Linked DNA regions of Caenorhabditis elegans. The protein of the gene in region 4 purifies or fractionates together with the protein of the main gene of each other region. This does not show direct contact. Each region holds a gene or a part of one and is shown on either strand. Other genes may lie near its edges.

What was found.
Region 1: the proteins of phf-5 (region 4) and C46F11.4 fractionate together in Caenorhabditis elegans (co-fractionation; one large-scale study listed by BioGRID). This does not show direct contact.
Region 2: the proteins of phf-5 (region 4) and Y26E6A.3 fractionate together in Caenorhabditis elegans (co-fractionation; one large-scale study listed by BioGRID). This does not show direct contact.
Region 3: the proteins of phf-5 (region 4) and sftb-1 fractionate together in Caenorhabditis elegans (co-fractionation; one large-scale study listed by BioGRID). This does not show direct contact.

What each region holds. Positions count from the first base shown.
Region 1 is NC_003281.10:3,657,389-3,666,479, forward strand, and holds C46F11.4 (RNA helicase), read right to left. Parts: upstream 6,917-9,091; 5' UTR 6,911-6,916; coding exon 6,832-6,910; intron 6,787-6,831; coding exon 6,659-6,786; intron 6,596-6,658; coding exon 6,525-6,595; intron 6,473-6,524; coding exon 6,221-6,472; intron 6,150-6,220; coding exon 5,970-6,149; intron 5,364-5,969; coding exon 5,192-5,363; intron 4,953-5,191; coding exon 4,776-4,952; intron 4,724-4,775; coding exon 4,592-4,723; intron 4,544-4,591; coding exon 4,444-4,543; intron 3,539-4,443; coding exon 3,299-3,538; intron 3,249-3,298; coding exon 3,069-3,248; intron 2,154-3,068; coding exon 1,718-2,153; intron 713-1,717; coding exon 424-712; 3' UTR 324-423; downstream 1-323. Other genes in the region: C46F11.5 (RING-type domain-containing protein), read right to left, coding at 1-113.
Region 2 is NC_003284.9:13,907,157-13,912,522, forward strand, and holds Y26E6A.3 (Methyltransferase-like 26), read right to left. Parts: upstream 2,795-5,366; 5' UTR 2,731-2,794; coding exon 2,650-2,730; intron 2,573-2,649; coding exon 2,438-2,572; intron 2,157-2,437; coding exon 2,070-2,156; intron 2,022-2,069; coding exon 1,953-2,021; intron 1,781-1,952; coding exon 1,619-1,780; intron 1,498-1,618; coding exon 1,417-1,497; 3' UTR 1,215-1,416; downstream 1-1,214. Other genes in the region: Y26E6A.2 (F-box domain-containing protein), read right to left, coding at 4,069-4,392, 4,758-5,216, 5,355-5,366.
Region 3 is NC_003281.10:4,262,724-4,272,038, forward strand, and holds sftb-1 (Splicing factor 3B subunit 1 domain-containing protein), read right to left. Parts: upstream 6,548-9,315; 5' UTR 6,544-6,547; coding exon 6,400-6,543; intron 6,328-6,399; coding exon 6,048-6,327; intron 6,002-6,047; coding exon 5,339-6,001; intron 5,287-5,338; coding exon 4,543-5,286; intron 4,493-4,542; coding exon 4,405-4,492; intron 4,001-4,404; coding exon 3,766-4,000; intron 3,716-3,765; coding exon 3,446-3,715; intron 3,387-3,445; coding exon 2,451-3,386; intron 2,404-2,450; coding exon 1,975-2,403; intron 1,926-1,974; coding exon 1,860-1,925; intron 1,473-1,859; coding exon 1,359-1,472; 3' UTR 1,060-1,358; downstream 1-1,059. Other genes in the region: depd-5 (DEP domain-containing protein), read right to left, coding at 152-325; R10E4.1 (BTB domain-containing protein), read left to right, coding at 7,548-7,696, 7,905-8,398, 8,444-8,604, 9,201-9,315.
Region 4 is NC_003281.10:2,341,153-2,348,763, forward strand, and holds phf-5 (PHD finger-like domain-containing protein 5A), read left to right. Parts: upstream 1-2,420; 5' UTR 2,421-2,427; coding exon 2,428-2,503; intron 2,504-2,939; coding exon 2,940-3,028; intron 3,029-5,261; coding exon 5,262-5,429; 3' UTR 5,430-6,177; downstream 6,178-7,611. Other genes in the region: ppm-1.D (PPM-type phosphatase domain-containing protein), read left to right, coding at 576-854; gip-1 (Gamma tubulin complex component protein N-terminal domain-containing protein), read left to right, coding at 6,443-6,515, 7,485-7,577.

The DNA.
Region 1 (9,091 bases), 1.3 Mb from region 4:
CAAAAAGCCGAATTAACAGCCATCAAATATAATCCAGTAAGCGGATTCCTCCATTCGATAGTTTCTCGATAGACTTGATGAAGTCTCCGGCCACTTTCTCGTATCCGTTCCATCATTTTGGAGTTTAAATTAAAATTTTAAAATTTCAACGAAAAACCAAAAAAAGAAATCGATAACTCTCTTCACATCTGTTATTATTTTCTTTTTTGTCAACCTAAAAACAGAACAGTTGTTTCTTTTTTTCTTTGAAACTCATAAGAGATAGAATGGGAGCGATGAGAAAACGCTTCGGGAATTATTGAATTATTGCGAAATCGGCATTTTTTTACAAATTTTTTTATGAGATCTGGAATCTGGAAAAAAAGAGAAAAAAGATGTTAAATAGAATCTCGGATCAAAACATAAAAAAATAAAATAAATAATTTATTCCCATCTGCTTCGTTTTGAGGAAGAGCTGCTGCTCGAAGAGCCACCAGAAGCTGAAGAAGCCTGTTGCTGTGCAATCTTTGCATTCAATTCATCCACTTTCTTTTTCCATTCTGGTCTTGGATCTGATGCTACTTGCTGTGGAAGATTTGAAGATTCATTTGTAGGTCGTTGAAATGTTGTTTGGAATGATTTCTGAAATGCACTTTTGAGCATTTGGGCTCTATTGGCTCCGGAAGCTGGGCCACTGCTTGAAGAGGAGGAGGAAGAGGATGACGTGGCAAAGCTGAAAATTCGATTTTTATGTTAAATGTGGTGGGGTGGATGAAATTATTTTTTTAAATACTGTCATTTATTAGAAATTTTTTTTGTTGAATTTTTTGGAAATTGTTGAATTATTTTTTTAATTCCTATTCTATTTAAAACTCAATTTCCCACATTTTTAAACATGCTCCGTATAAAAAACTTGATAATTTCTCTGAAAAATTTCCTAAAAATCAATAATTTAAACTTTGTCGCGTAAAACTTCTGAAAATTTGATTGACTATGTTTGAAATCAATTATCAAACAAAAAAATTTAAGAGAACCAAATTTTATAGCCGAAAACCCCCAAAAATGTCGAAATTAGGCCATTTTTTGCGGGAATTCAAAGATAAATCAGCCCGTTTTTGTGGGAAAATTGAAAAAAAATCGTAAAAAATTTAGAATTTAGATTAACACTTATATTTGGCTATTTCGGTCTATTTTCAATTTTTTGAAGTGCAAATAACTCTTTTTGAATTAAAAAATGATTTTCTTTCTTTTTCGAAATATAGTTCAAAATTTTTGCCACTTTTTTCTTTTTTTTAGTAAAAAATTTATTTTTTTTCTTCAGCACCAACGGTGTCGGTTTTTCGAATTTTGAAAACCGATAATTTTCGTTTTATTTCTAATTTCCGATATTTAGTAAAATTTTCCGATTTTTAAAAAAAATCTTAACATTTTGATCTCTTTTCTCCTAAATTTTTATGTGTTTTTTTCTTATCAATATAAAATAAAATTAGATGAAAATTTTTAAAAATATTTTATGGTTAATTCTCTGAATTTTTTTATTTTAATTTTTCGGAACATCAAATACTCAAAAATTGTTAGTTTTTCGATTTCCCTTCAAAAAAATGGAAAAACGACACATTTCTTTAATTTTCAAAATATAATTTTTCGATTTTCCGGAAAATCCGTAAACTACAATTTTTACATTTTCCTTGTCTCGGTAGCTATTTTTTTTATTAAAAAATTAATTAAAAATTTATACCTTTGTGCATTTCTGATCATTCCATCAACTGTCTGATTCCCTCCACCTCTACAACTTTTTTGCTCTTTTAATGGATCAAATTGTGCTCCAGTGGCACCTCCTCCAACTTGTCTAACTTTTGGTGTATATCCAAGACCCATTCTTCCACGTGTCTGTGTTCCAGTACTTGGTCCTCCATTCCCAGCTCTTTGTCCTCTAAACCATGAACTCTTCATTGCAAGATCCATTAAAGGTTTTGGTACTTCTTGTGATACACTTTCCAGATTTTTGACCAAATGTCCGACCATTTCAATGTCTTTTTCAGTAACAAGAGTGTATGCTGTTCCTTTGTGACCAGCTCTTCCAGTTCTTCCAATTCGATGAACATGAGTATCGATGTCACGAGCCATATCGAAATTGATTACGGTTCGAATTTCAGAAATATCCAGTCCGCGTGCTGAAAATTTAATTTTTTGATCGGAAAATTAGGGAAAATTGATTAAAAACCTTAGATTTTAGATTTTTAGAACTTTAAAAATTTTTTTACGGTTTCCAAAATTTTCAAAAACTTGAAAATCGCCAATTTTTAAATGTTTTTATTGGAGAAAATATTTGTTTTTTTTTTCCTATTTTTTTCCGAAAAAATATATTCAATTTTTTAAAAAAAATTTCAATAAATCGAGCAATTTTTCTCGACTTTTCGATGTAAAAAAAAACGAAACTTTAAAAGATTTTTAGGAAATTTTTCAAAAAGTCAAAATATTTTTATTTTTGTTCCCGAATTTCGTTTTTTTTTTCAATCAGATTTTTTGGTTAAAAATCTATATTTTTTTCTTTTTTTCCGAAAAAAAATTAATTTTTTTGGAGAAATCTCAATAAATCGAGCAATTTTTCTCGACATTTCAATGTAAAAAAAAAACGAAAATTTTAGATTTTTTCATAAATTTGCTAAAATTTTGAAAAAAGTCAAAATATTTCAATTTTTGTTGTCTTAATTTTTATTAAAATTTAATTGTGTTAAAAAATCCCGAATTTCATTTTTTTTGTATTTTTTTCTGATTTTCCTGTTAAAAATCTATACTTTCTTTCGTTCCAAAAATAATTTCAATTAAAAAATTGGGCGATTCTTTTTCAATTTTTTCAATTAAAAAAAATTCTCAATATCCGGTTCTTTTTTGATTTTTGTTAACATTTTTTATTTTAGACAACCGAAAATAGGATTTTTGATTTTACAAAAAAATAAATTAATTCACTTTTTACAGAAATATACTTTTTCGTTATTTTTTTTCACATTTTTTAAATTAAAATATTATATTTTTAAGATTTTTGGAATTTTCGAACTTCAAAAAAAAATTCCCAGTAAAACTATTACCTGCCACATCAGTTGCCACGAGAATTTGCGATTTTTTCCGGAATTTCAATAAATTTTCATTTCTCTCTGCTTGTAGCATATCTCCATGTAGAAGGACAATGTCGAAATCTTTCATTTTCAACTTTTTCGCGACGTCTTCCGAATCCAATTTTTTCGTGACAAAAATTAGCACTTTTCCGACTGAAAAATGGTTTAAATTATGGAAAATTTGATAATAATAAAAATCTTACGAGAAGCAAATTCCACTAAATTTCGAATAAGCCAATGCAATTTAACATCTTGATTTTGCATTACAAAAACTTTTTGTTCAATATCAGCATTCGCTTCTCCAACTTCTCCTTGTACAATTCGTACGGGATCTACGAGAGCATCTCGGGCGAGTCGTTCCACTTTTTGTTTAAAAGTCGCACTGAACATTAAGCATTGACGATCCGGGCGGACGTGATCGGATATTGATTTTACTTGAGCCTCTGGAATAATGGAAATTCGATTTTTTTTTTCAAATTTTCATCTTTTTTTTTTTGATAATTGTATATTTAATTGCTGTGAATTTAGTAACCAAGGAATTCCAAAAAATTCCAAAAAAAAAAACAAGCTTTGTGGTTTTTTTTTCAAAGAAAAATTTGGCTTTAACGGTTTTTAAGGTTTTTTTTCAAAAATTATTCATTTGAATTTGCTACGTGTTAAGATGAAAAATGTTACGGCAACGAATCCATAATCGAGCCATTTTTCTGGTTTAAAAACTCTCACAAAACTCAATGTTTTTGGTTCGAAATTTTTCGTCGCGGTCATGTTTCGATTTACGAGGCTCGTGGTGGGCAAACGACTTTTTCCGGCAAATCGGCAAATTGCCGGAATTGAATTTTCCGGCACTTTGACGGGATTGAAAATTTCCGGCAAATCGACAATTTTCCGAAAATGAAAATTTCCAGCAAATCGGCAAACTGCCGGAATCGAAAATTTCCGGCAAATCGGCAAATTGCCGGAATTGAAAATTTATGGCAAATCGGCAAATTGCCGGAATTGAAGTTTCGGGAAAATCGGTAATTTTGTTGAAATGGAAAAATTCCGGCAAATCGGCAAGTTGCCGGAATTGAAAATTTCCGGCAAACCGACAAATTGCCGGAATTTAAAAGTTCCGGCAAATCGGAAGATTGCCGGAATTTGAAATTTCCGGCAAATTACCGGAATTAAAATTTCGGGAAAGTCGGCAATTTTGCCGAAAAGGAAAATTTCCGGCAAATCGGCAATTTTAAATTTGTCGGTTTCCACTGGCTCGTGTACTCCTCGAGGAGGAAATTCAATTCGGGAAAATACACGAGCTGCGTAAATCGACATACGGCCATTTCTATAAGTTTTTTTCAAAAAAATATACCAAATCCCATATCAAACATGCGATCAGCTTCATCAAAAACTAAAAAAGTTGTCCGCAGGAAATTGGTGGCTCCCATCTTCACTAAATCGATGATTCGACCCTGGAAAAGCCTTTTGAAATTTAAAAATAAATATTTTTCTCAACTAACCGGTGTACAAACAACCATTTCAGCTCCTTCATTCTGTAATTCATTTGATTGTTCCCATTTACTACCTCCACCATATGCACAAATTGGATTAATATTGTAAACTTTGCAGAATTTTTTGGCCTCTTGGAATACCTGGAAAATTTATTTTTTATATTTCAAGTTTTTTGGTTGAATTTCCAAAAACCTGAATTGCCAATTCTCTCGTCGGAACCACAATAACTGCAACCGGGCCTTCTCCAGCCTTCAAATCGGGTTGATCCATAATATGAACGATTGCAGGCCACAAATAGGCCGCAGTCTTTCCTGATCCGGTTTTGGCAATTCCTAGAACATCTCTTCCAGATAATGCAGAGGGGATCGCCTGAAAATGTTAATTTTTTTGTCGATAAATTACAGATCGTCGATTTGCCGGAAATTTTGATTTTCGGAAAATTGTCGGTTTGCCGGAAATTTTCAATTCCGGCAAGGAAACATTCATAGGATGCGTACAATTTTGCCGATTAAAATTGAATTATTCCGTGACAATGTGCAAACCCACAGTTTGCCGAAAATCGAAATTTCCGGCAAATCGGCAAAAAAATCTGAAAAATCAATATTCACCATGGCCTGAATCGGAGTCGGCTGCTCATATTCACTCTTCCGAATTGCTTCCATTAACAGCTTATCAAATGAAAAATGAGCAAACGAGCAAACTGGACGTGGCGGCTTGAGGCCTCCAACTCGAAGATTCATTGTATTTTGAAGGCGAATTACATCCATATAGTGTAAGCGTCTGAAAATTTCTTGATTGATAATAGAAATTTTGCTCCAAAACTACGGTAACCGGTCTCGAAACGACTTGTTAAATGCAAAAAAGTGTGTGCGCCTTTAAAGAATACTGTAATTTCAAACTTCTATTGCTGTGGAATTTTTTTAATCGATTTTTCATAGTTTATGAAAAATCGATAAAAAATTCCACAGTAATTAACGTCTACAGTACTCTATAAAAGCGCACGAACTTTTTTTGTAATCAGCAAAAATGTCGCGTCGAGACCCAATTTTTTTCAGAAAATGCACAGAATTGGCTTATTTCAACATGATAATCGAACTTTTTCGATTTAAAATTGATATAAAAATGTAGAAAGCGAGGTTTTCTATCTGAAAATAATATTTATTTTTGTTGACAAACTTGAAAATTACCGTTCGCTGAAATTTTTTTAACGGCACCATTTGAGGTATTTTTCAAGATTTTCATCAAAAATAAATGTTATTTTCAGATAGAAAACCTTGTTTCCTACATTTTTATATCAGTTTTAGTTCGAAAAAGTTCGATTATTCTGTTGAAATAAGCCAATTTTGTGAATTTGCCGCGAAAAAAAATGTCTTATCCTGAACCCACTTAATATCCTCATGCTCCTCATAAAAGTTTTTATTAAACTTTTGATATTGAATCTGTGAATGATCGATATCTGGCAATGGATCGATAACCTTTTTCCATGACCAAATAATATTTCCATCTTCATCATATTCCAATTGCTCATCATCATTTTCGTGTTTCTCTTTGTACTCTTCCATGAATCTGGAAAACTTTTATATTGTTTAATATTTGATTTTAAATTCATGAATTAATTCAAAATTTCCTGTACAAACTTGAATAGAGATTCCTGCATATCCTCCTCATCAATATCTGCTCTTCCAAGCCCTTTTTTACTCGGATCCTCCGTATCTTTTCCCTCTTTCCGATCTTTCTCTTTTTGCTCCGAAACTTTTTTATCACTGGAAGCCTGCTTTTCGATTCCGGCCATAAATGCGTCGAGCTCATCTTCTTCATCATCGTCATCGGCGGCAAGTTTTGAGGAGGAAGAAGCGGGCTTTTCATCATCTGAGCCGCCTTCTAAATATCTAAATTTGAAATTATTAATTTTCTTTTTTTTTTTTTGAAAAAAAAACCTACTCATCATCATAAATCCGTTTCCTTCTTGATTGTTTCTCAGACGTCGAGCCATAAGCCATAAGATTTGCGTACTAAATTAATAATAATCCAGTGAAAAGTTGAAAATTTTTAATTTTTTCATGAAAACTAAAAACCTCTTGTTCCTTCTTCATTTCTTGCTCTTTTCGATTTGACAAGAGAATATTCCGATTTGGTGGTGGAACAGGCGCATTTCCGACTGTTAAAGCTGCAGGAGGAGGTACATTATTCATACTTTTACCATCTGAGAACAATAAAATTCATTTAATACGTGAAAATATCGATTTACCACTCAAACTGGAGGTTCCCGAACTCTTTGCGCTTACAAATCGATTTTGATATCCTCCTGAATATTTTCCACGCCACATTTTTGCCTGAAAACATAATAAATTTTGTTTATTTTGGAGGAAAATGATGTTTAAACATGTTTAAAAAGTCGTTTAATCGCAGTCACAGGGAGAATGTGGGCGTGGCCTTCGCTTGCAACACGCCGCGCGCATTTCGCAACGCTGCCGCACGTAGTTTATGTATTGCTGAATTGTTGAAGTACGTAACTACAGTAAGAAAATCATTTTTTCCACATTGAAATATTTCAAAAAAAAAAGAGAGAAAATATTATATTTTGAAATTATAAGAAATGTGGGTAGAAAACACAAAAACTATGACCTTAAGGTCGCACGAGAAAATTATTAAAAATAATTACAACGGAAAAACTACGAGAAAATTACCCTTTCACCATGAAAAAAAAACAATTTTTATTTTCTCCCGCGACTTTAAGTTCACAAAAGTTTTAAAATATTAGCGTGGCACACTAATCCATTAGTTAAACTCTAAGCTCTTGCTATATAAGGGGCAGAAATACGGTTTTCAAATCAGTACGAAGTTTTGGAAACTTCTAATCTTCTGGCAGTGGCAGTGGGGAGCAGTTGGCCCGTGGATGGCCTGTGGGTGGCCTGTGGATGTCCTGTGGATGTCCTGTGGATGGTCAGTGCATGGTCGGTGGTGGGATGTTGCCGAACAACCAGCGGCATCAATGGTCGTGTCGGAAGCCGAGGCCTCGGACGAAAAACACGTGGATCCGGATGGAATGGACAGGATCGGGTGGTAGCAGCGGACAGTGACCAATATTGAAACGTAAGTTCGAATGCTACTTTTCAGACATTTCTGAAATAACTTTAACAAGAACGAAGACGTACGCTAACTATATGTTAACTCGTCTTTTTGTTTTGAAATTTGAAGTAATTTTGAATACAACAGTGGCAAAAGTTAACTGAGTGAGCAATTATTCTTTGTTTTTTGAAATTAAAAAGTGTGCATAACAGTTCCTAAACAATTCGAATTTCAGCGTGGCACACTGAGAATGTGAGGAGTCATGGAGCACGTTGATGAGGGTGGAGCTGGAACGATCGGTTGGACACTGGAGTAAGCTGATAGGCTTTAAAAGGTAATTTTTAGAAATGAAACAATTTTGAAAATAGTAACTGCGAGAAAAAACCATTTCACGCAGAATTTAATTATTTAAAACACACATTAGTTCCTAAACAATACCAGTTTTCAGAGTGGCACAATAAACGGATGGGCGGTCAGGCATGTCGTCGAGCAAGCAGCGAAGCGATACCACTTTGGACTGGGAACCGAGGAGCATGTGGATGAGGCTGGAATGGCCGGGTAGCTGCAGAGGACAGTGGTCAAGAATAGAATGTGAGTTTATCAGTTATTTTTCAGAAAAATGTTTAATAAGAATGAAGACGAGAGCTATACTTAGCTATTGGTTAATTTGTCGTTTTGTTTTGAAATTTGGAGAGCATTTTGAATACAACAATGACAAAAGTTAATTGAGTTAGCAATTCGTCTTTATGTTTAGAAATTGAAAAAGTTTAAATAAAAAACTGCGCGAGAAAGTGTACATAATAGTTCCAAAACAATTAGAATTTCAGGATGACACAATAAACTGATGGATACTGGATGAGTAGAGGGACCTCGAGAAACGTAGCGACTGAAAGATGGGGCGGGGGCAGTGGAGAACGTGGATCAGGATAGATTGGAGCGATCGGGACGGTGTGCAAATGGCAATGGAGTCAGTCAAGGATGGACTTTAGTCCAACAAAGGTAACGAGGGTTTGAAATGATTTTGAAAAAAAAGTAAAATAAAATTTTTGATGAAAATTAAAGACACTAATAAAATATTATTTTTTATTCGTCTTTTCCAAATCAGTGTGTCCATTTTTAAAGTGTCTACTGGAAGCTTCATTTTTTGAATTCCATAAATTAAAATTTCATTTCCAAATCAGTGTGTCCACTTTTAAAGTGTCCACTGGAAGCTTCATTTTTTGAACTCCAGAAATTTAAGTTTCATTTCCAAATCAGTGTCCCGTGGTGGAAAAATTTTTTTTTCCTTTTTTTTGGGATGAAAAAATTCGCAAAAAAAATTTTTCATCCCAGAAAAAAAAGGGGGAAAAAAGGTTCAGAAAAAACAAACAAACATTTTTGTCGCTGGATGGACTTTAGTCCAACAAAGGTAACGAGGGTTTGAAATGATTTTGAAAAAA
Region 2 (5,366 bases), on a different chromosome or scaffold from region 4:
TACAACATTTAAAAGAAGGATTTAGTTTTTGAGCTGCCGAAACTTCACAAATTAGCTGGAACATCAATTCAGAAATACACAGAAAAACTACTTACCATCTCCAATATCGAAGGTGCTCATTAATGTAGCTTCAATATTCGACACAAATCACGCTGGGAAACCAAGAATTCCAATTTTCCGGCTGTTGAACTTTTTGTTGATCTCCTAGCAGATGTTTTAACTGGAAAATTGCCTATAAACATTTGTTGTATACTTGTTACAAATCACACAAACTGAAAAAAAAACCAGAAGTTTCCACGCACTTGTAATATGAATATTGAAATCAATTGTTTTTTAATGCATCAAGAAACTTTTTTAGCAGCTTGCACACAAATAAATGAAATTCAAATTTAAAAGAAAAGCTGATCGTAAATAAAATGAAGTAAATAAATATAAAAATACTTTTTATTGTTGAGCGCTATTTTTTCTTAGATTGATTTTTTGATCTTACTCGAGCGACATTGAAATGTTCATACTTTTAAGCTAAAAGGATTATTACCCGTTTGTGCGATTTCTGGTCAGATCAGATAAACCAGACAAAGTTTTACTTGTCACAAAATGATAGATGATAAAACTTTAAAAAAAAATAATGAAACGCTTAAAAATAAAAAAATAAAAATCACACGCGCAAACTATTTGGTGATAGCAAATCGAAACATACAAACAAGCAAAATTAGTAATTGTGCTTAGATGCTGCTGGGTTCAGCTGCAATTTTAAATTCAGCAGAACGAACAAAATCTATTTCTGTAATGCCAATCAAATATTCTTAAAGCATTAAAATATCCGTACAATCACCCATATAGTCAATCTTTTCTTAATTCCAGAGTTTTTTTAAATTTTTTTTTTTAAGTTTTTTTTTTAATTTGACATCCGCGCACTTCTTTTTGAAATGTCTAGTTCCACTGTTATAGAATGACTTCACATTAACACCAAGAATCGGCTCTGCTCACTAGACCAGAAATAACTGCGTCAAAGAAACATAACATGAAGGTGGCAAAACACCTGCTTCAATACTTGAAACGTTTCTTGAGGAAGTTCGAAAATGGTTTCTTGAAAAGAGTAATTATTTTCCAATAGGTAAAATATTTGAATAAAATTTTTAAATAGCAATTTGGAATCCATTTCAAAAAGACAACTGTTAATATCGACTTCAACCTGAAAATGGAGAAATTAATTACACTTGAAAATGCTTTAAAATCATCATATATCATAGAATATTGAAATCAAACATGCTTTATATTATATTAAAGAGCGTAATATTGCAAATATTATTTGCAGTTAAAAGGAGTTATCAAGGCCATGCATCGCTGAAAATCTAGCGTATTACAAGTATTACAAGTACAGGAGAACAGATTGAAAATAAAAAGTACAAGCGTTTAACGGGAAAAGATCAAAATGAAATTATTCTTCGGAACTGTAATCTTTTCGGCAAGACGGAGGTTCGAACTGTTTGCAAGCTGAAAATTCAATATGTTATAAACTATGAATTTATATTTAAATTCTCGAAAAAAATTCTGACTAAGCGTTCAGTTTCATGGTAATAAAACCGAGATTAACTTTAAAAAAAAATCTCCTTACCCTCTCCAGATATTTGATATCCTTGAGGCCATGTTCCGGATCTTCAGCTTTCAGATTTGTATGAAATGCGATGTTTGATTGTGGTGAAATGTGTCCATCCTCTGCATATGGTCCATAAGTCATGAGGATTCCGTTCGTCTCGTGAAGAAGCAAGTCGGCAGACTGTAAAAAAGGTTAAATTAGTTCAGAAGTGTTTGAATTTGATGTGATAAAATTTGTTTTTATTTCAAAATTATTTGCAACTTGAAGAAAAAATTCAGTCCCATTGAAATTTATCCTACTATTTTTGAAATTCGTATTTCACCTTTGACATTTATCAAAAAAAAAAACTTACTTGAAAAAGGCCTTTAACTGCAGCCGTGGAGCAAATGTGAATCATGTTGATATTGAGAACAATGTCGACCTGAAAAAAAACGAAGTTATTTTCCAATATAGTCTGGAAACAATTTACCATATGAGGTCCGAAATCCGCAGGAAGAGCCCATTGATTGAATGGTTTTGCAACGTCGATGAAGAGGGGGATGCGGACGTTTGGAAACTGAAAAATATTACTTTATGGTTACAAAAACATAAAGTTGAGTTTTCATAAAAAGTTGTAAAAAAAGAGAAATCAAAAATTAGTTTAGAATTATTGTTCACCCCAACAGTCTGGAGTGTGGTTTTTTGTTAAAACATTCTGTCAATTGCTGGCAATTAAAATTTTTTAAAGGTTTTTCAACAGGAGTGTGGAAAAATGCAGTCATTTTAATTCAAGTATTATCTCTTTTTTGCTATTGTGAAAAGTGGAAATTTGGGCAGGGCAACTAACTGCTGACTAACCTGACTTTGATCCAAATAAGAAACGATGGAATGGAGGTATCGACCATTAACTTCAGTCGGTTGAAAAGTGACATCCGGCAGAGCCCGTGCAAAATGTTCCATATGCTGTCCAGTTCCAGAAGCTAGCTCGAACACCTGAAAAAAAAAAATATATATATATCGTTAATGTTTTCATTTTAAAAAAATGTGAAACACATTTTTTAAAAACTTACTTTCTTTCCAGATGTTGCGAATCTTCTCAACACCTCCAAAATCACATCCTTGTTCGATTCGGCAGCTGGCGCTCTCAACATCACCAATCGCTGCAACTACGTTCAATTGTTATTTGATTCAAAATGTGAAACAGTCAGTGGTAAAAGAGAAAGGTACGCGCGCGCACTTTTTATAGGGTTTATAACAGTTTGAGATAGATGCTAACCAGAATGAAGAGACTGGTAAGAGAGAAAACAAAAAAAAACAACAGAAGATTGGAATACCAGAAATCGATAGTTGTTGTTTGTGTGGGAAAAAAGGAGGAATGGCAAGTGTTATGCATGGGAAGAAGAGCGAACGAACGGCAAAAAGTTAAGTACAGTGTAAATGCGCAAAAGGCAGATTAAAAGAGGAATAGCAAAAAAAAACGGTTAAAAGAGAGAAAAAAGAAACTAAAAAGAGATTTTGTTTACAAAACTGTGAAAAAAATGAGAGTGCAAAAGTTACACGTGTCCTGCCAGCCAAAGCGAGCTGCAAGCCTTGCCACGTATAAGGCCAGAGAAAGTAGGGCATCAATGTTTTGTTTTGTTTTTCGTGAAATTTTTGTTTTTCTTAATAATTTTCAACTTTTAGAAGTATTTTAAAAGGTTTCAAATATTAAATGGAAACTAATTCAGCTGAAAATTTTAGTAATAAGACAAAAATTAAAAGAGCGCGTTTTCTGCGAGTTTTTTTAGATCTTGCTTTTTTATATACTTTAATTTGAACCTAAATATTTTTATCAATTTCCTAGAAAAATCAAATCTCGACATTATATAGTAAAACAAAACTCAAAACGAATATATAAAATTTCAAAAGAAAAAATCAAATTCATCTGAAATCAGCACTCGCAGAACGCTGAAATTAATTTGTTCTAATTATAAACTTATTAGGCATATTTCTATTTTTACTTCTTGTTTTTTAATCGATTTAGGCACATGTTAAGCCGGTTGGCATACTATAGGTGGTACATATTTGGTTGTTTGAGGCCATTTTTGTTATACCACAGTATTAACCCATAAATGTTACTTTGCGGTAAATGTATCACGCTTTAGATTTTTTTACTACTGAAAATGCATGACGAAAACCAATCTACAAAAAGTGTACCAAAGTTTATTGTTTCATCAACATGAATGACTGGATAATAGATTTGCTTGGGAATTGGAGATTTGACAAAACAAAACAATAACTTAGAAGTGGAATGAGCTGTGTGAAAAAAAAACCGGGTTGGAGTCTAATAGTTTTTGAGATGAACAAGAATTAGTGACAACAAATATTACAAAAAACTGTTATAAAAAACTATAGAAAAATTGTTATATAGAAAATTTTAGGGAATGTAAGAAATAAATAATTTTCTCATAAAAGTAGATTAGTTGGTTTCATTTTCGCTAAGAATCATGTTAATTAGTCTCGTGAAAAACGTATTCGGTTATTTCTCCATGTGGCATTTGTGATGAGTTGAGCTCACTGATAAACTCCAAATACCCCTTTCGGAAGGAAGTCTTCGGCCGATGACGTCTACCAAAGGGTGTTTGGAAGATGGTGAATTGTTTCAGAATTACCCATCTACCAACTTCTCGGTGTCCATTATCCCAATCACGAAGAGCTTTTCGGAATGTGTCGATATTGTTGAGAGCACAATTGATGTTGACAAAATGCTTCGCAGAAAAGAGCCGTTCTCCGTGATCCCTGTTGAGAGTGTCGCGGATGGATATGGTTTTGATCTGAAAATTTGTATTGCTTCTACATAACACTTGTTTATTTTAAATTTATTTTTAAATTAAAATGTAGAGTATTTTCAGTAGGGAAATTATTTAAATCAGCTCATGAAGTACTAAATTGCCTTGATGTAATTGTAAAAAATTATTTTTAAAAACTTGAAAGTTTGCAATTATGGTCAAAAAAATTGGAAGTCGGCCAAAAAAAATCTATACTTTTAAAATTGAATTGCGTCTCAGTTATTGCATTTAAAACTTTTAGGGGATATTGGAATTTTTATTAACTTATTGCATGATCCTACTTTTTTGGAACGCTCTTTAAACCATAACACGAAAAATTCAAATTTTCTCAAATTCTAAGTACAACTCACATCTGGGAACGGAATGAAGTCGTCAGTTAGTGCGTTCACTTCAATCTCCACAACTTCTTTGTCAAACATTTCCACCATCATTTTCAAATTCTCCGTGTACTCGAAACCCTTGACAATGATTCTTTTAAATGTTCTGGATCCAACGAAGTTGTGCACAGCTTCACAGTATTCCGGTTCGAAATCATCAGTGGTGACAATTTTTAAAATAGTTGTGTTACGCAGCAGCTGGGTTTTCTTCTTCTCGTTGACTTCGGATTGATTCAAGCATTTTTCAGAGTCTGGATCGCTTTCATTTTCTTGTTGATTTTTCTCCAATATCCATCGGACATTCATCTCGCCACTGGAGAAGTCAAGAATCAAAATGACATCTGGGAGCACCATTTTCAGACTATTCTGTCGGTAAATGTTATTGGCAGCACTGCACGTGATTGCTAGACTTTGAGCGTCTTTGTAAGCCGACTGAAAATTTTTTTTAATCTTAGGAATCATCCGGTTGGAAGTGCATCTGCTCAAAAAGTGTTTAACGTTGTTTTTTTGAAAAGGAGAGATTCAGATTTTTTTATTTTTAGAAGTATTTTCCCAGAATTGAAAACTTACTCGTTGCATGAT
Region 3 (9,315 bases), 1.9 Mb from region 4:
GAAATTGGAGAATTTAGTTCATCGAAGTTTATTTTCGAATTTTTAATCCATCAAAACCGGTCTATTGAGGTAATTTGAGTATTTTAACTTTACTTTAATTTTAATTTTTCAGTATTTTAATGAATAATTCTGTGCCCTATCCATTACGAACCGGATCACAATGCGGACATTTGTCGATCGTGTGATACACGACTTTAGCATTCCATGTCATCTTCTGTGCCTCGTGAAGTCCAAGTTGTAGCTCATTTTCAGGCGGTGGTTCAGTGGTTGCTCTCCGTTGACTTGAGTTATTGCTGCTGCTGGGTCCAGCTATTTCGAACGCCATCCCCGTGGATCCACACCGCCTTCACGGACCAAAGCAGCACCTGCGCTTTTGAACGAAGATTTTCGAAATTCTTTTGCTCACTTGGAAGGGATGACTGAAAAAAATCGATTTTTTGAGAAAAACTAATTTTCAGAGAATTTAATTATTACAAAGACGCGAACATTTGTACAAAAAATACGGTAACCGGTCTCGACGCGACAATTTTAGTTCAATGCAAAAATGTGTTTAACAAAAATATCGTAGCTGCATAATTTTCATAGATTTTGTTCAAATTTTAAGTATTTTAATATTTGTATGAGTAAATATATTTTTGAGATAAAATCGATGAAAATTCTGTGCAAACAAAAGTTTTTCGATTAGAAAAATAAAAATTGAAAGAAGATTATGAAAAATCGATGAAAATTCCGTAACAAAGAGATTCTTAAACTACAGTAATCCTTAAAGGCGCACACCATTTTTGCATTTAATACACATTTGTCGTTTCGAGACCAGCCACTGTACTGTTGCTGCAAAAAGCGCAAAATTTTCGTTTTTAAGGAACTAATATTGAAAGAATTTGTAAAATTTCTTTTTTAAAGATAATTTTGCCAAAAATAAAATTAGAAAATTATTTTTATATTTGGAGAGTATTAGGAAACTCTGATATTTTTTAAGGTATTTAAAAAATTTTTAAACGAGAAAAAATAAGCGAAATTTGACTTCAACAAAAAAAAAGGGATTTCTTTAAAACATTAAAATAATTTGACAAGTCTTCATTTTAAATATCTATCGCAAGAGTTGTTGTTGTTTTTTTTTTTGGGAATAAATTGATTGATATTGGAGAAAAGTAATAGAAAAACAAAAAAAAACCACTGACAACCAAAACAATTTTGTTAGATTAATCTAGATTCAAGAGAATATTTGGAGGGAAATGGGATTAAAATATAAAAGGTTTCGTTTTCTATGAAAATGTGATGAAAGGAGGGAGGGAACACGGAGATAGAAAAATAAGTTATCGAGATCCAAATAAAAAAAACAAAAATTAGAAAATTATTTAAAGATTATAATCAAGTTCGTAGCGGACATATTGATTTGTTGGGGTGTTCTCGATACGTGGATAGGCGGCAATAAGAGCATCTGCGGAGCCAAGAATTAGGTTGTTGAAGACCTGGAAATATTAATATGAAATTACATAAAAATTTAGCGCTTGTGGAAAAAACGTCTCAATATTCCGAATACAAATTTTAAAAAATTTATAGAAATTTTCTAATCTTTTTTTAAATTTTGCGGAAAATTTGAGAAGTACCAAAACATTTTTGAATTCCCGCGCAACCTGTATTTAATTTTTTCCTTTTTCAATTTTTCCGGTCGCTCACTTTTGGTCGAAAAAAAAGAAGATATTTCACAATAAAAATAAATTTTCTCTGAAAAATAAAAATTCAATTGAAAAAAATCATTAAAAAATTAGAAACATTCTATAAATATTTTAAAAGCTATATTCCGAATATTTCCACTATTTCTGTAATTGAAAATTCAAGGAAACTAAAATAATTACCTTCCACACTGGTTCTCGAACTTTTCTCGCTGGATGCCAAAGAGCTTGCAGGCAATATTGAAGAACCTGAAATGAATTTTAATTTTTGAAATTATTAAGAATTTAAAATAAAAACCTTAATAGGTCCCAACGAAACTCGCATTCCTTCACATGCAAACACCCATCGTTGAATAAGATGCGGTGAGTTTTCCAACATATTGGGCCACACATAATTCAATAAATGAATAAGTGCATCTTCACAACCAAATCCATAAACTCCAATAGCAAGATGAGCAACTGCGTCGACTGCAATCTGACGATGAACTTGATCTCTTTCCATTAATGCATCAATGAGCAGCGGAACAACTGCATAAATGTAGTCTTTTGCCATTTCTCCAATGTATTCGAACATGAATGAAAGAGCTTTTAAAACTCCGTTTTGTACATTAATTTCAGGTACACGATACTCGTTCATAATTGCTGGAAGTACTGTAAATGGGGCACAAGTTTCCGAAACAATGGCAATGGCGACTGTTGTACACACACGGAGCTGGCGTTCTTGGACCTGAAAAATAATTTATTTTAAAAGAATCACTTCTAATCCGAGCCTACCTTCAAATTATTGAGCAACGTTGCGAGAACATCATGTGGTCCGATAGCTTTTGCAATAAATCCAAATGTATTAATTGCAGCTCTTCGAATACTTTTCTTGTGAGCTTTAAGCAATTCGAGAAGCTCGAAACAGATTCTCATCCATTCTCTTGCAGATACAAATTCAGATCCTCTATCAGCGATTGCTCCCACCAAATCGATACAGTTCTCCTGCACTTTCTCGTGACGATTCTTCAAAATTGGTGTCAATCTTGGCAGCAAATCTTTGATTGGTGGAGTCATTTTGGTCATTCCAATAACATTGCAAATTGCTTTCAATGCACCGAGAATTGATCCAAGTACTTCTGGATATTCTTCTCCCAAATACTCATACAATACTACTCCCATGTGTCCCATCATTTTCTCCTCTTCACACATATGCATAACCGGTGCAATTCTGGCAATTAAATCAGCAGCTTGTTGACGAACTTTTGCAGATTTGTTGTTGAGACGCCACAGAATAGTACCACAGATTTGTGGGATATATGCCTTGGCACGTCGTCCAAGACTTGAGCAGATTGTTCCAAAACCATCAAGCATCACAGAATCTTCTTGAGTTTGTTCCTGGAAAGCATAAAGAAGACCATCAATCAGTTGTTCTTCAAGTCGAGCATCAATATCAGTCGCTCCTTGCAACGCTACAATATTCTCAATTGTTTCCATAACCATTTTTCTGTATTGCTCATTTTCATCCTTCAAATCATCAACAATTCGAGCAATCATCTCAACGCATCCGACTTTTTGAGCAATTTCCACAGTTGTATCAACCAATTGGCGATAGTTACGACGATCCATAGCCATTCTTTGATTCCAGAATGCTTTGAAGAAGCTTGGAAGTACTTCGTCTCGAATGTAACTCGCTTCTACTCCGTCTGTTGCACAACACTGCTTGACAACCTGCAAATTTAAATGTTAAACGATAGTTCTACGAATGTTTTGGTTATTATATCACTCACCTTTAAAACAATCTTTTTCATTTCCTCATCTGGCGATGCAAACTCGCGAATCAAAATGAGCATCACTTCTCTTGTATAATATGAAGCATATTCTGCGTCCATCAATGGAATCAGGTAACCAATAGCTTTAAGGAATGCAGCAAGACCTTTTCCACGATGCATACGAATACCTTTCCAAAGAGGTTTCAACACTGAATCGAAAGCTTCAATTCCGTATGGAGATGAAGCTTCGGCGAGAGCTGCCAAGCAGAGAGCAGTGATAGTTCGGACCTGAAACGATTTGCATCAATTCCAGAAACTTTAGAAATTAAAAAGAAAACCTTTTGCTGTTCATCATCCAATCCGCTTTCAACAATATCAACAAGTGCTTTCAAATGTGGTAATACTGCACAACCCATCAAAATGGCCATTTGTTGAACAATTTTAATACCCGTGTGCCGAGCCTGCCAACTTTTTTTACTTTTGCACACAGCTTTAAGGAATGGGAGGAGAGCTGGAATTCCGAGAGCTGAGGCGACGACAGCGAATGCACGAGCGGTTGTATTACGGACATATCTGCAAATTTTTGGGTTTGATTAAAAGCTTTGTGATGTTTTTTCTGCTTTAAATTCATTAAAACTGACCCGCAAATACCGAATTTCATAGTGAGATTTTTAAAAATCTAAAAAATACATTTTTAAAACTTTTTTTGAAAAAATTCGGTCTTTTCGGACTTTTTTAAATTAAAAACTAGTGTAAACCTATAGAAAATCACTTGATTAATCTGAAATTAACATTAATTTCAGCTGGAACGTTTCAGAAAGTTCTCAAAAATGGCCAAAAGTTGCCAGATTTTCTATAGTTTCAAACTAATTTTTAATATTTCTTCAATTTTTTTACTGTTTTCCAGGGAAAATTGAACAACCATATATTTGGTGTTTGTTTAATTGAAAAATCAACAAAACTGTCGACAAACTTACTCATCAACATTATCAATATCAGGCCTCATTGTAGAAATCATTGTTGCCAATCCAGCGGCCTTTGCAAGGTTGGAAATGATCTCACGACCTGAAAATATTTAATTTTTAAATTTTAAAATTTATTCTAAATTTTCAAACCTTCAACTCTTGCATAATAATCCTCATCGATAAGAAGTGGCTCAATGACGACAAGAATCTTATGCACATATGGTCTGACGAGATCATCCAATTTGTATAGAATTCGATCAATAACTTTTACCATCAAATGCCGTTCTTGATCCTCCAGCGATGGTGACATGAGAAGTGGAAGAATTTGATTGAAAAGTGGACCTGCTCCGTACTTTCGCGCGTTTTCTGTTATTTTTCTCAATCCGCTCTTTCTCATTGGCGGGGTTCCATTTTTGATTTTCAATAAATGCTCCATAATTTCCCGTTCATTTTTCTCTTCTTTCGTGAGTTGACTCTCATCTACATCCATCAACAACTTATCGAAATATTGCATATCATCTGGCTTTAGAGGTGGTAATTCTGCATTCTTAGGTTGAGTATCCACCAGACCACCGACTCCTTTCTCTCCGATTCCATCTCTATCTGGTGTTCCAGGCATAAAGAATCCTCCACCAGCAGCTCCACCCATTGGAGTTGGAGTGGCCATCAACTTCCGTGATGGTGTTCTCAGAGGAATGTAGTTCATTGGAGGAACCAGAACCTTGTAGCCAGGTGGGAATAGTGAATCGAGTTCTTCATCAGTCAATGGACGGTTTCTGTCATCAATTTCCTTCTCCCATCGGTAAATTTGCATTTGTTCAGGTGTCATTGGAATCATATGAGGAGCTGGTGTTTTCATTCCCATTGCTGCCGTTCCAATTGGAGTTGCTCCACCTGAATATATTTTATATTAATTTTATATTAATTACAATATTTTGTAATAAACCTGGAGTCATTGCTCCGATTGGAGTCTGTGAAGGGTGGCTCGGTGTGAATGATGGTGTCTGTAATCCGGAATGAAGTGGAGTAGCTGCTGCCACATTCGGAGTTTGTGATGGTGTCAGATCCCATCGTGAACGACGCTTCGATGCGGATGGAGTATCCTCAATCTTAACATCATCTGATCCTCCTCTAGCAGGAGTCTCCATTCCCCATCCCGGTGTCATTGATCCATCATTGAGATTCTCTTTTGGAGTTTCATCCCAACGATTTCTTCTCGGGGTCTGTGCTGCCGGAGTCGTTGACCATTTATCCACAGAAGGAGTTGCATCAGCTGCTCCAGTCGAGTGAGCCGGTGTTTCATCCCATCTAGCAGCTCTTGGTGTTGCTGCATCTGCACTAATCTTCGAAAATCCTAATCTTTTTCGTGGAGCAGAACCCTGAGATGGAGTTGCAGAAGCTGCACCAAGATTATCAGAAGATGCATCAGTTGATGGAGCTTCAGCATCCCATCTTCCTTTCTTTTTCTCTGGCTGTCCAGTAACATGAAGCTCTCCAGCTTTTGCTCGATCGGCAAGCTCCCGTTCAACACGCCCTTTCTCTTCATGGTACATCTGATCACGCATAACTTCTGCGTAACCTCGATTCCGATTGTCAGGAGTTTGATCAACTGAAAGAATAAATTTAATTAAAGTCAAAATGATTTTCGATCTTACCAAAAGCATCCGCTCTGTCTGGAGAGATCTGTCTCCTCATAGCTCTTTCGTGATACTTGGATTGTCGTTCTGCGATGGTTTTTGTGCGAGTATCTGCGAATGGATCAGTGTCCTCGGAGGCAGCAGCCACCTCTTCGATGAATTTGTGTGGCTGTGCATAATTTGTACTTTTCTTTTGTACACTCGGCATCGAATCCTCATCGACGTCATCTTCTTCTCCGGTTCCAATCGAGTCTAGGTAACTATCCCGATTTTCACCACGAACACTTCCGTAAACATCCTGAAATTGAAAAGATTCAAAAAGTAATAGAGAATTTTCAAATTTTCAAATAAAGTATTAGAATTCACTAACCGTGTCGAAATTACCAGCGGCTCCGAAGGCCACTTTATTTCCGTTTCCCTTATTCTCATCGTTGTCTTCGGCTGCCGCGGCACGCTGGTTTGCGACCCTTTTGCGGTTCAACTCCTGCGCATAAGCCTCGCCTGAACGAGACATCGATCTACAATCAATATTGATTATATGGAAGAAAGATTAAAGTTGGAAGGAAAAAAACTTTTTTTAGAAAAGATTTAGAAAACAACATCCTAAACTTCGATAGCTTGCGCGAAACCATTTTCAAATTGTAATAAACAATTGCAAAAATTTATTAATGAAATCACTAAAAAGAAATGGAAACCATAATCCTTTTACAATGAACAATATTCAAAGAAATACACTCAAGAAACTAAAATATTAATACCCTTGAAAAATAATGGATTATCTTACGAATTTTTATGAACATCAGACAGACAACAATATTTAAAGTTTTTCTGTTGTTTTTTTTTAAATAATTTAAAAGTTTTTAAACGTAAAATAACTGAAAACTGTCCCTTAAAAGGCGAAAATTGCATTCGAAATTTTGCACGAGAATCGCGTCAATGCACCGGTCGCGCGCCAACAGCACCTGCTGGCGCGCTCTCCGATCAGTGGAGGAAGATCGAAGATTGTGTTCACTTCAAGAGTTTTGACATTTCATTTGGAATATGGTGAGTTGCTCGTTTTAGTAGGTCTTTTCTGTTTTTTGTTGTTTTTTAGTGTTTCTTTCGACGTATATCGACTTTATAAGCAAATTTCCAATAAAATTGTGAACTTTTTTAAAAATTAATTTTTTTTCACCAACATTGTGGCCACTTTAAAATTGAAGCATAACTAAAATGTTCTTATTTTTAAATTTTTATTTAAAATAAAAGCTTTCTTATTTTTTTAAGTGGTTTTATCATGTTTTTGCTTTCTCGTTCTTATAGAGAGAGAGAGAGAGAGAAGAGACGCAGAATACTGGGGCAGCATATAGCATGTGTGTTGTTTAGATGTCTCCTTGCCCCTACAACCCTTTTCTATCGATTTCCCCGTTTTTTTCGGTCTGCCACGTGCTTCTTTTTCAGTTCATGCCTTTTCTCCTTTTATGAGATTCTTTTTTCCCCAACAAAATCTTATCGAAAATTTCAGGGTAAAGTCTGAAAATGGCTCCGAACAAGGCTGCCGCTGAAGAGTATCCAGTGGATATTGTGGATTTAAGTGATGATTTTAAGAGTAGCAAGACTCTTGATTTGGTCCTAGACGAGGAGCACAAAGTCTACAGATATTGGATTCATTTGAAGTGTATGAAATGGTCAGTTTTACTTCTAAACGATAAATTGTTCACTTTTCTGGAAAAAACGCTGAATTTTGGCTTTATGGTTAAAAAAAAACATAATTTTTAAGAAGTTGAAACTACAGTACTCTTTATTGTCGTTTCGAGAAACCGTATTTTTGCACGGAAATCGATCAACGTTGCTTCTGAGAAATAATATAATCCCATAACAAAACTGAATTGTCAGGCAAATTGAGTTGCGTGCAAATTCCTTCGAATGCTTTGCTGCTTACTTCAAAACTCCAGCCACCTGGTCAGCGGAAGTTGAATTCGAAATTCGGGCTCACGTTACAAACTCTGTGAGAAGCGAAAAGTTTACTGGACGATATACAGGATCCAATCATGTCTACTTTCGTCCATTGAAGCTTCAAGATCATATGGTTCGAGAGAAGCTGAGAAGTATGAGAGTAGAAATCACAGTGAATGTCATTAAAACTATGAACTTCGGAATGCTCTACGACTATTTTGATGTTCTACCAGAAGAAGAGAATGCTTTGTTGAAAGTTGAAGATCGTCTTATTCGTGTGAATAAAAGATATCTGTCAATGATGTCTCCATTCTTTAAAGCATTATTCTATGGAGAATTGGGTGAAGATAAAGAAATCTATGAGATGAAAGAGAAGTTCCGTGAGATTATAACTTTCCTCAGATGTATTTATCCACACAGACAACCTGTTACAAGTATGTTCCACAATTTTGAGAATCGAATTATTATCAAATTTGCAGAGAAAAGCCTCGACTATCTTCTCCAACTCGCAGATCGTTATCAATGTCAACCAATTGTGGATGCGTGTGAGATGTTCATGTGTGCACATTATCATGAATATCAGAAGAAGACGGAGAAATGTTTCTCTTACGTGGAAAAGTATAAGATGCAAAGAGTTTTGGTACGTTCAAACGTGGACTTGTGGGGAATTTACTATGAATTGCTCCCGGTATCTACAACAAGCGTGGGCGGCAAATCTTCTGCAAAACTTACAAAACTGTTTGTTTCAATGTTATAATTCATTATATTGAATGAATGAAAAACTGGTATAGAAATGAAGAAAATGGGTTGTACCATCGGAAAAAATATTAATTTGAGTTTAAAATTTTGAAAAACACCTCAACTAGTACTCGAAAGCTATCATTTGCCAAAAACTTTTTAACTGGAAACGGCAACTTTAACGCAGTATTTGAAGTGCTTTTCAAATAGTTTAGAGCAAAAATAAACATTATTTTCAGATTGAACGAATAGTTTTCTACATTTCTATATTCATTTTATATCAAATCAAAAAGTTGGATTTTCATATTAAAAGGAGGGGGGGGGGCAACTTTGTAAATTTGCCAAAAATGTTTCAGCCAAATTAGTAAACTAATTTAATAACCAAACTTAAATTAGATCTCATCCAATATATATAAGTACATCAAATTAAGATAACCATAAGTGATAGCCCATTTACTTTTGTTGCATATTCCCGTCTTGATATCTTAAATTTTTCAGCGAATTATTGTCGAATACGTGGCAGTAACCCAATCACCAGCTCAATTCCGTCTTCAATCATACTATCGAGATCTTTCTGAGAAGACACAACTTGCTGTTTTGGATTACATGGCAA
Region 4 (7,611 bases):
CCTCGTGAGGAAAAAGTTACAGTGTAAAATCGTGAAAATTGCCTAAAATTTGACGATTTACACCTGAAAGTGCGCAAAATTCGAATTCCTCGTAAAATTTCAGTCTCGGGCGTCCGAAACCAAAAGTACGCAAACACCGACGACTACAGTACCCCCGGAAACACCGAATTTCACGCGATTTTCGAATTTTGAGCTGAAAAATCATGGGTAGACTAGGAAAATGGCGAGGAATTCGAATTTGATTCTAAAATTTTGCAGAAATTACTCTGAATCATACCAACGAAATTCCGAAATTTCGAACGTTTTTCGTTTAAAATCTGAAATTTTAGACAAAAAGCGTGAAAATTCGAGAGTTTTCGTGAAAAAAATTGGGAGAAAACTGAATTTTCAGCCAAAATTAGCTCGAAATCCGAAAAAATTAGATATTTAATCGAAAAATTGAAAATCGGCAATTTTTTGAAGAAAATTTTTTAAATTTCAGCTGAAAAATTGAGTTTTTACGTGAAAAAATTTGCAAAAAATTGAAAATAGCTCAATTTTTCCAAAATTTTTCAAATTTTGAGCCCATTTTTCAGGATCATCAACTCCTCCGCCCACACACACACGCCCCGCCTCCAACTCCATCTCGCTCCGCCCCCTCGTCGCCATCGTCGAAAAAATGTGAAATTTCTTCTTCGCTAAAAACGAGTAAATCGGCAAAAGCTTCATCTCTATCGAAACTGGATGATGGAATTATTCGAGTTTCAGAAATTGCAGACGAAGAAGATGATGATGACGTCACTATGATGAGGGGTCCACCGTCGAAAATGCGACGATTTTTTGGATATATGAAAAAAATGGTTTGGGGGAAGTAGTAATAAAGTTTTTTTTGAGATTTTTTAGACGTTTTTAGACGCGAAAATTGGCTGAAAATTGAGGCTTTTGACCGAAAATTTGCAAAAATCGAATTTTTTGGCCGAAAATTTTCATTTTTCGCAAAAAAATCACCCAAAAACTGATTTTTTTTTGTTGAGTTTTTTACAGAAAAAATTCAAATTTTGAGAATTTTGAGCTAAAAATTTGGGCAATTTTTACGGAGAAATGCTCAAAAAAATGAATTTTATGTTAAAAATCGAGTTTTTTCGCTTAAAAAAGTGAAAATTCCGCCAAATTTCAAATATTTTCCAGCTAAAAACTTTGTTTTTGGACTATTTTTTGGCTAAAAAATCCAGTTTTCACATTAAAAATTGCCGAAAATTTGAATTTTTGGGTCAAAAATCGCTGAAAAAGCAAATTTTCCACCTAAAAACCTCGAAAAATGCTCATTTTCCCCAATTTTCCCCCCGTCAAATTTTGAATAATTATCAACATTTTTCCTGGTATTTAAATTCACTGTCGGTCTCTCTATTTTTCCCCCATTTTTCCACTTTTCACCCCATTTCTCACTAGTTTGTATCATTTTTTGTGCTCCGAGCTTTCGATTCTTTGCTCTTTTACTCGAAGATCATCATCCATCCAATTTTTGTTCACTTTTACCGGCTCGCGGAGCACATTTTTCGGCATTTTTGGCCATTTTTTTGTTGGAATTTTTGAGAAAATTTCACAAAAATTGAAGAATTTTAAGCTAAAAAAGTGGAAATTTCAGCGAAAATATGGATTATTTTTACTGATTTTATCACTGAAAAATTCAGAAAAATTGGGATTTTCTAGGATTTTTTCACTGAAAAACTTGAAAAAATCCCACAAATTCTGGAATTTTCACTGATTTTTTTTCTGGAAATTTGAACAATTTTCAGCCAAAAACTGAAATTTTCCTGAAATTTCTCTAAAAATTTTGGCGAAAATTCAAATTTTCAGTTGAAAAACCAATTTTTCTGAAAAATTTCGCTTTTTTCTCCAATAAAAATGACCCAAAAATTCCAATTTTTTTTTTCAAAAATTTGTAAAATTTACTCGATTTCTCTCATTTGTTCTTTATTTATTATTAACTAAAATATCACAAATTTCTTATAACTATTCACCTCCCAATCCATCCATCTTATCCTAATTATTTGATTTTTTTTGTGAAAAAATAAGAATTTGAACATTTTCAGCTATTTTTTTGCTGTGATTTTTGACGTTTTTTTCGTCCATTTTTACCTTTTTTTTTGCTTATTTTCAGGGTTTTTTGTCTTTTTTTTAAGTTTTTTAAAGTCGAAAATTTGAATTTTTAATGATTTTCAAACAAATTTTCGATTTTTTTTCGTTGAAAAATTAAAAAAAAACTAGTTTTTCAAAAAAAAAATTTTTTTTTAATCAAAAGTTTTGAATTTTACCCTTTTTTTTCCAGGTTTCTGACGATTTTAACCAGAATTTCTGAAAATTTTAAGCATTTTTTAATGAAAAATTCTAATTTCGCTTCAATTTCAGCCCAAATTTAATTAAAAATCCATTTTTTACAGGCTTGTGATGGCAAAACATCATCCAGATTTGATTTTTTGCCGAAAACAGCCCGGAATTGCCATTGGAAGACTCTGTGAGAAGTGTAAGTTTAGAAAAATTATTGATTTTTCGCCTATAAACTACCGAAAAATTCAATTTTCCAGTGTAAAATTGGAATAATGTATCGATTTTCCTCGAAAAATCACTACAAATTCAACTTTTCTCTATAAGTTCCGAAATATCAAAAAAAAATTGATTTTTTTTTGAAAATTTAAATTTCCGATTATTTAAAAAAAAAGTAAACATTTCAAGCTAAAACTTTTAAAAAAAATTATTTTCTGATTATTTTCTGAAGAAAAATCGAAAAATGTGAAATTCTTAACCGAAAATGTAAAAAAGTTATCGATTTTAGTAGGAACATTCCTGAAAATTTAATTTTTCCTATTTAAAATTTATAAAAATTGGTGTTTATTGGCGAGAAATTCGAAAAAATAGTCTATTTTACAAGAAAAAACACTCAAAAAATTCAATTTTTGCAGGCGATGGTCGTTGTGTGATTTGTGATTCACATGTTCGTCCATGTACATTGGTTCGTATCTGTGAAGAGTGTAATTATGGATCATATCAGGTACAAAACACGCGGAGATCTACTGAAAAATGCTCAAAAATGAGTCGAAAATCATTGAAAATCCCGTTTTAAAATACAAAAATACAGTGAAAACTCGCAGAAATACGAAAAAATCGGAAAAATTTTGCAAATTTTGTTGTTTTTTGGGAAGTTTCCACCAAAAATCAACTGATGGCCGAACTCTTTGGATTTCTAGGCCATTGAAAACTGATTTTTCTCAAATTTTCAGTTAGAAATTGTGTTTCTCACCAATTTTCACCCCTAGAAGTTGTGTTTTTTTTTTGCGCAAGATAATTTGGTGGCCTAACTTTTGGGATTTCTAGGCCACCAATATGACAATGATGGTTTCAAGCCGTTTTTATCCTTTTTTTTAGAAGTTTTATTTGAAATAATGACAATAAAAACGATTTTAACTTGAAAATCGTGAAGTTTTCAGTTTAAATTCCTAGAATCCCCTAAAAATCTATGTTTTTTCCGTATAAACCAAATTCTATTCAGTTTTTGGATTTGATATCAATTGGTGGTTGAACTCTTTGGATTTCTAGGCCACCAATTATCTGAACTTTTTTCCCCTGTGACTCTTGTGCCTCTATTCGTATTGATTGCAGTAAAAACGGGTATTTATTCACATTTTCAGCCTTAAATCAGCTGAAAATGTGAATAAATACCGTATTTCTGCCAACAATTTGACAATAGAGCACATTTGTCACTCGGAGATGCGGAAGCTATGCCCAAATTTTCATTTTTCCCGAAAAACTTGTAATTTTTTACGGTTTTTCATTAATTTTTTTTTAATTTTTGAGGCTTTTTTTTGGCGAAGAGTCGCTTTTTAATCGAATTTTGAATATAAAAACTGAATTCTATGTGGTTTTTGGATTTAAAATCATTCGGTGGCCGAACTCTTTGGATTTCTAGGCCACAAAATTTTTGAACTATTTTCCCCTGTGACTTATGTGCCTCTACTCGTTTTTTTTTGTTTGCACTAAAAACTGTATTTATTCACATTTTCATCCTCAAATTGGGCTGAAAATGTGAATAAATACCGTATTTCTGCCAACAATTTGACAATAGAGCACATTTGTCACTCGGAGATGCGGAAGCTATGCCCAAATTTTCACTTTTCACCCGAAAACTTGTGAATTTTCACGAAAATTGAAATTTTTTGATGTTCCAAGTAGATTTTCGGATGAATTTTCGCAATTTTAGCTTTAAAATGCCAAAAATTTGGAATTCTTTAAGAAAAAAATATTTTAAAGTGCCGATTTACGCCGTAAATCGACACTACAATATTATCAATAATGTGCTGCGTGCGCATAAAACAAATACACTTAATCTGTGTATATTGCTGCGTCTTTGACCCCTCTTTTCCTTCGATAAAAATGGTAAAAATATCGATTTTTCGGTTTTTTCCTTGTTTTTTATGGAAAATTTGAATTTTTAAAGAAAAAATTGGTAAAAAACGCTGAAAATTCACTGGAAAAATGTGTTTTTAGCGAAAAAAAATGCCTCGAAATATAAATTTTTAATTTTTAATCTGAAAATTCCCGTGAAAAATGGGAAAATTTTCGAATTTTTCATGTTTTTTCGACTAAAAAGTCGAAAATTTTGTGAAATTTCTCGAAAAAATTGAAGTTTTCTCAATTTTCCAGCTTTTCCCCCTCAAAATGCTCCAATTTTCAGGATATTTTCATATATATTTTTTTTTTTTTTTTTTTTTTTTTTAAATTGTGAAAAACGTTGAAAAGTTCACTTTGGAAAAAGAAAAATATGGAAAAATTCAAATTTTCCACTAAAAATTGACATTATTTGCGGAAATTACCAGCTTTTCGGCGTAAAAAACGCTAAATTTGTCAGTTTTCCGCAAAAAATGCTCGAAAATCCAAAATTTTGTGAAATTTCTCTCAAAAAACGCGTGAAAAACGCTATTCAAAAAAGTGCAATTTTCAGCTTTTTTTTACTAATTTTTTCTTTAAAAAATTCAAATTTTTGACTGGATTTCTTCAAATTCTCCATTAAAAACGGGTTTTTACTCAGAAAAGAGGGGAAAAACCAGGAAAATTGAAAAATTTTCATATTTTTCGACTGAAAAATGCAAAATTTTGTGAAATTTCTCTCAAAAAACGAGTGAAAAACGGCAAAATTTACAAATTTTTCTAAAAAAAAATCGGAAAAACGCGAAATTTTCATGTTTTTTTTCGGCTAAAAATTAAAATTTCCATTTTTTTTTTTGCAGGGTCGGTGTGTGATTTGTGGTGGCGCTGGCGTCAGTGATGCATATTATTGCAAAGAATGCACAATTCTCGAAAAGGATCGTGACGGATGCCCGAAAATTGTGAATTTGGGAAGTGCGAAGACGGATTTGTTCTACGAACGAAAGAAATTCGGATCGAAAAAGTCGTAGAAATTGGCTTTTTGGCGGCGAAAATGAGCGAAAAATCACAAAATTTCGCCGAATTTTCACCTATATCACCTCTAATTTATCAAAAATGTTCCAATTTTCTGTTAATTTCCACTTTTTTCCGCTGAAAATTCCTATTTTTCTTGAAATCTGACTGAAATTTGGCTAAAAATGAGCTGGAAATATCGAAATTTGGCTGAAATCGTAAAATTCCCTTTTTGTTCCCTGAAAATTGAGCAAAAATGTCAAAATTTTGGCATTTTTGACCAAATTTTGCCTATTTTTGTGAAAATTTGCCTTTTTTTTTCGTTGTTTTTATCGAAATTTTGCTGAAATCGCGATTTTTTCCACTATTTTTCCCTAAAACATCCCTTTTTTACTGGAAATTTGGGCAACATTTTGGCATTTTTGCCTATTTTTGTGAAAATGTTACCATTTTATTGAAAAATTAGCTTAAAATGACAATATTTTCCTAAAAATTTCGAATTTCCGTGAAAAATAGCCAAAATGTCACTTATTTCAGTTAAAAATATGCCATTTCCCTGAAATTTGGCTGAAAATTCGCCTATTTTCACTTAAAATTCCGCAAAAAGCCCTTTTTTTCACTCAAAATGTTCAATTTTTCCCTGAAATTTGCCTGAAAAATCGATATTTTCACTCATTTTCACCTTAAAAATTGTCTTTTTCCCCCATTTTTTCCAATTTTCCTCTACCCTTTTATCAATTTTCGAATAAATTATCGATTTTTCTGTAATTTTTCCCTTTTTTTGCTGTGTTGTGCTGGTTTTGTTACCTATTTGTGTATATTTATCTCTATTTTTTACGGGAATTTTCAGTTTTCCCCGAATTTTTCTGAATTAAAATCACTAAAAATCGATTTTTCTTCCTGAAAATTGGGTAATTTTGCGAGAAATTTAATTTTTGTTTAAAAAAAAACTAAAATCTGAATATTTTTTGGAGAAAATTAACCAAAAACTTGAAATTTTATGAAAAAAAAATGGAAAAATTTCAGATAAATGCGTCGACAAGGCAGCGAAGAAGTTGAAGCTGTACAGCAATTTTTAAATGCTTTCGGGTTTCATGATAGAGGTAATTGGATTGAATTTTAGAAGAAAAAACACCGAAAAAGCCGAAAAATTGACTGAAAAATCGAATTTCTGACGAAAAAATGAGATTTTCCATAAAATATCAATAATTTCAAGTAAATATTCGAATTTCGAGGGGTACGGTAGCACCAAAAGTACGCAAACACTGTGGTACACCAAATCTTACGACATTTTGCAGAAAAACTCCTGAAATTATAATAAGAGTTCAGATTTTTTTCATCAAAAGAATATATTGGTGGCCGAACTCCTTGGATTTTTTTAGGCCACGATTTTCTGAGCCAAAAATTTTATTTTGAATTTTTCGTTCAAATCTCGTTTTTTACTAGAGAAACTCCAATTTCGGCTTTTTTTCTCTTGGTTGCCTAACTTTTTTTTTAGATTTCTAGGCCACCCATTAAAAATAGACCGTTTTATTTGATTTTCTACATAAAAACGGGGATTTTGAATTTTGAATAATTCAAATTTTAAAACCAAAATTTTAATTTTAAGTCTTTTTTTTTTTTGAGATATTTGAAATTTTCTAGACGGTTTTTTGGTGATGAATCGGTTTTTATTAGAATTTCAACTATAAAAACCGAATTCTAGTCAGTTTTTGGATTTAAAATCAATTGGTGGCCGAACTTGTTGGATTTCTAGGCTACCAAACTTCTGAACATTTTCCCCTGTGACTCTTGTGCCTCTATTCGTATTGATTGCAGTAAAAACGGGTATTTATTCACATTTTTAGCCTTAAATTGGCTTAAAATGTGAATAAATACCGTATTTCTGCAAACAATTTGACAATAGAGCACATTTGTCACTTGGAGATGCGGAAGCTATGCCCAAATTTTCATTTTCAAGCCGAAAAACTTGTGAATTTTCGCGATTTTTGCACAAAAAAAACCATTTTCAGCCGATTTTTCCGTAGAAAAACGGATTTTTAATCAAAATTTTGCAATTTTCTGTATTTCAGATGTGATAAAAGTTCAAGAAGGGCTATTCCACAGCCGTCAGCTCAACGATGTGAACGCTTCGAGAACATGTGTAGATCAATTTGTTAAGAAATGTATGAAATTCCAGGGAAAAAACCAAAAAAAAAA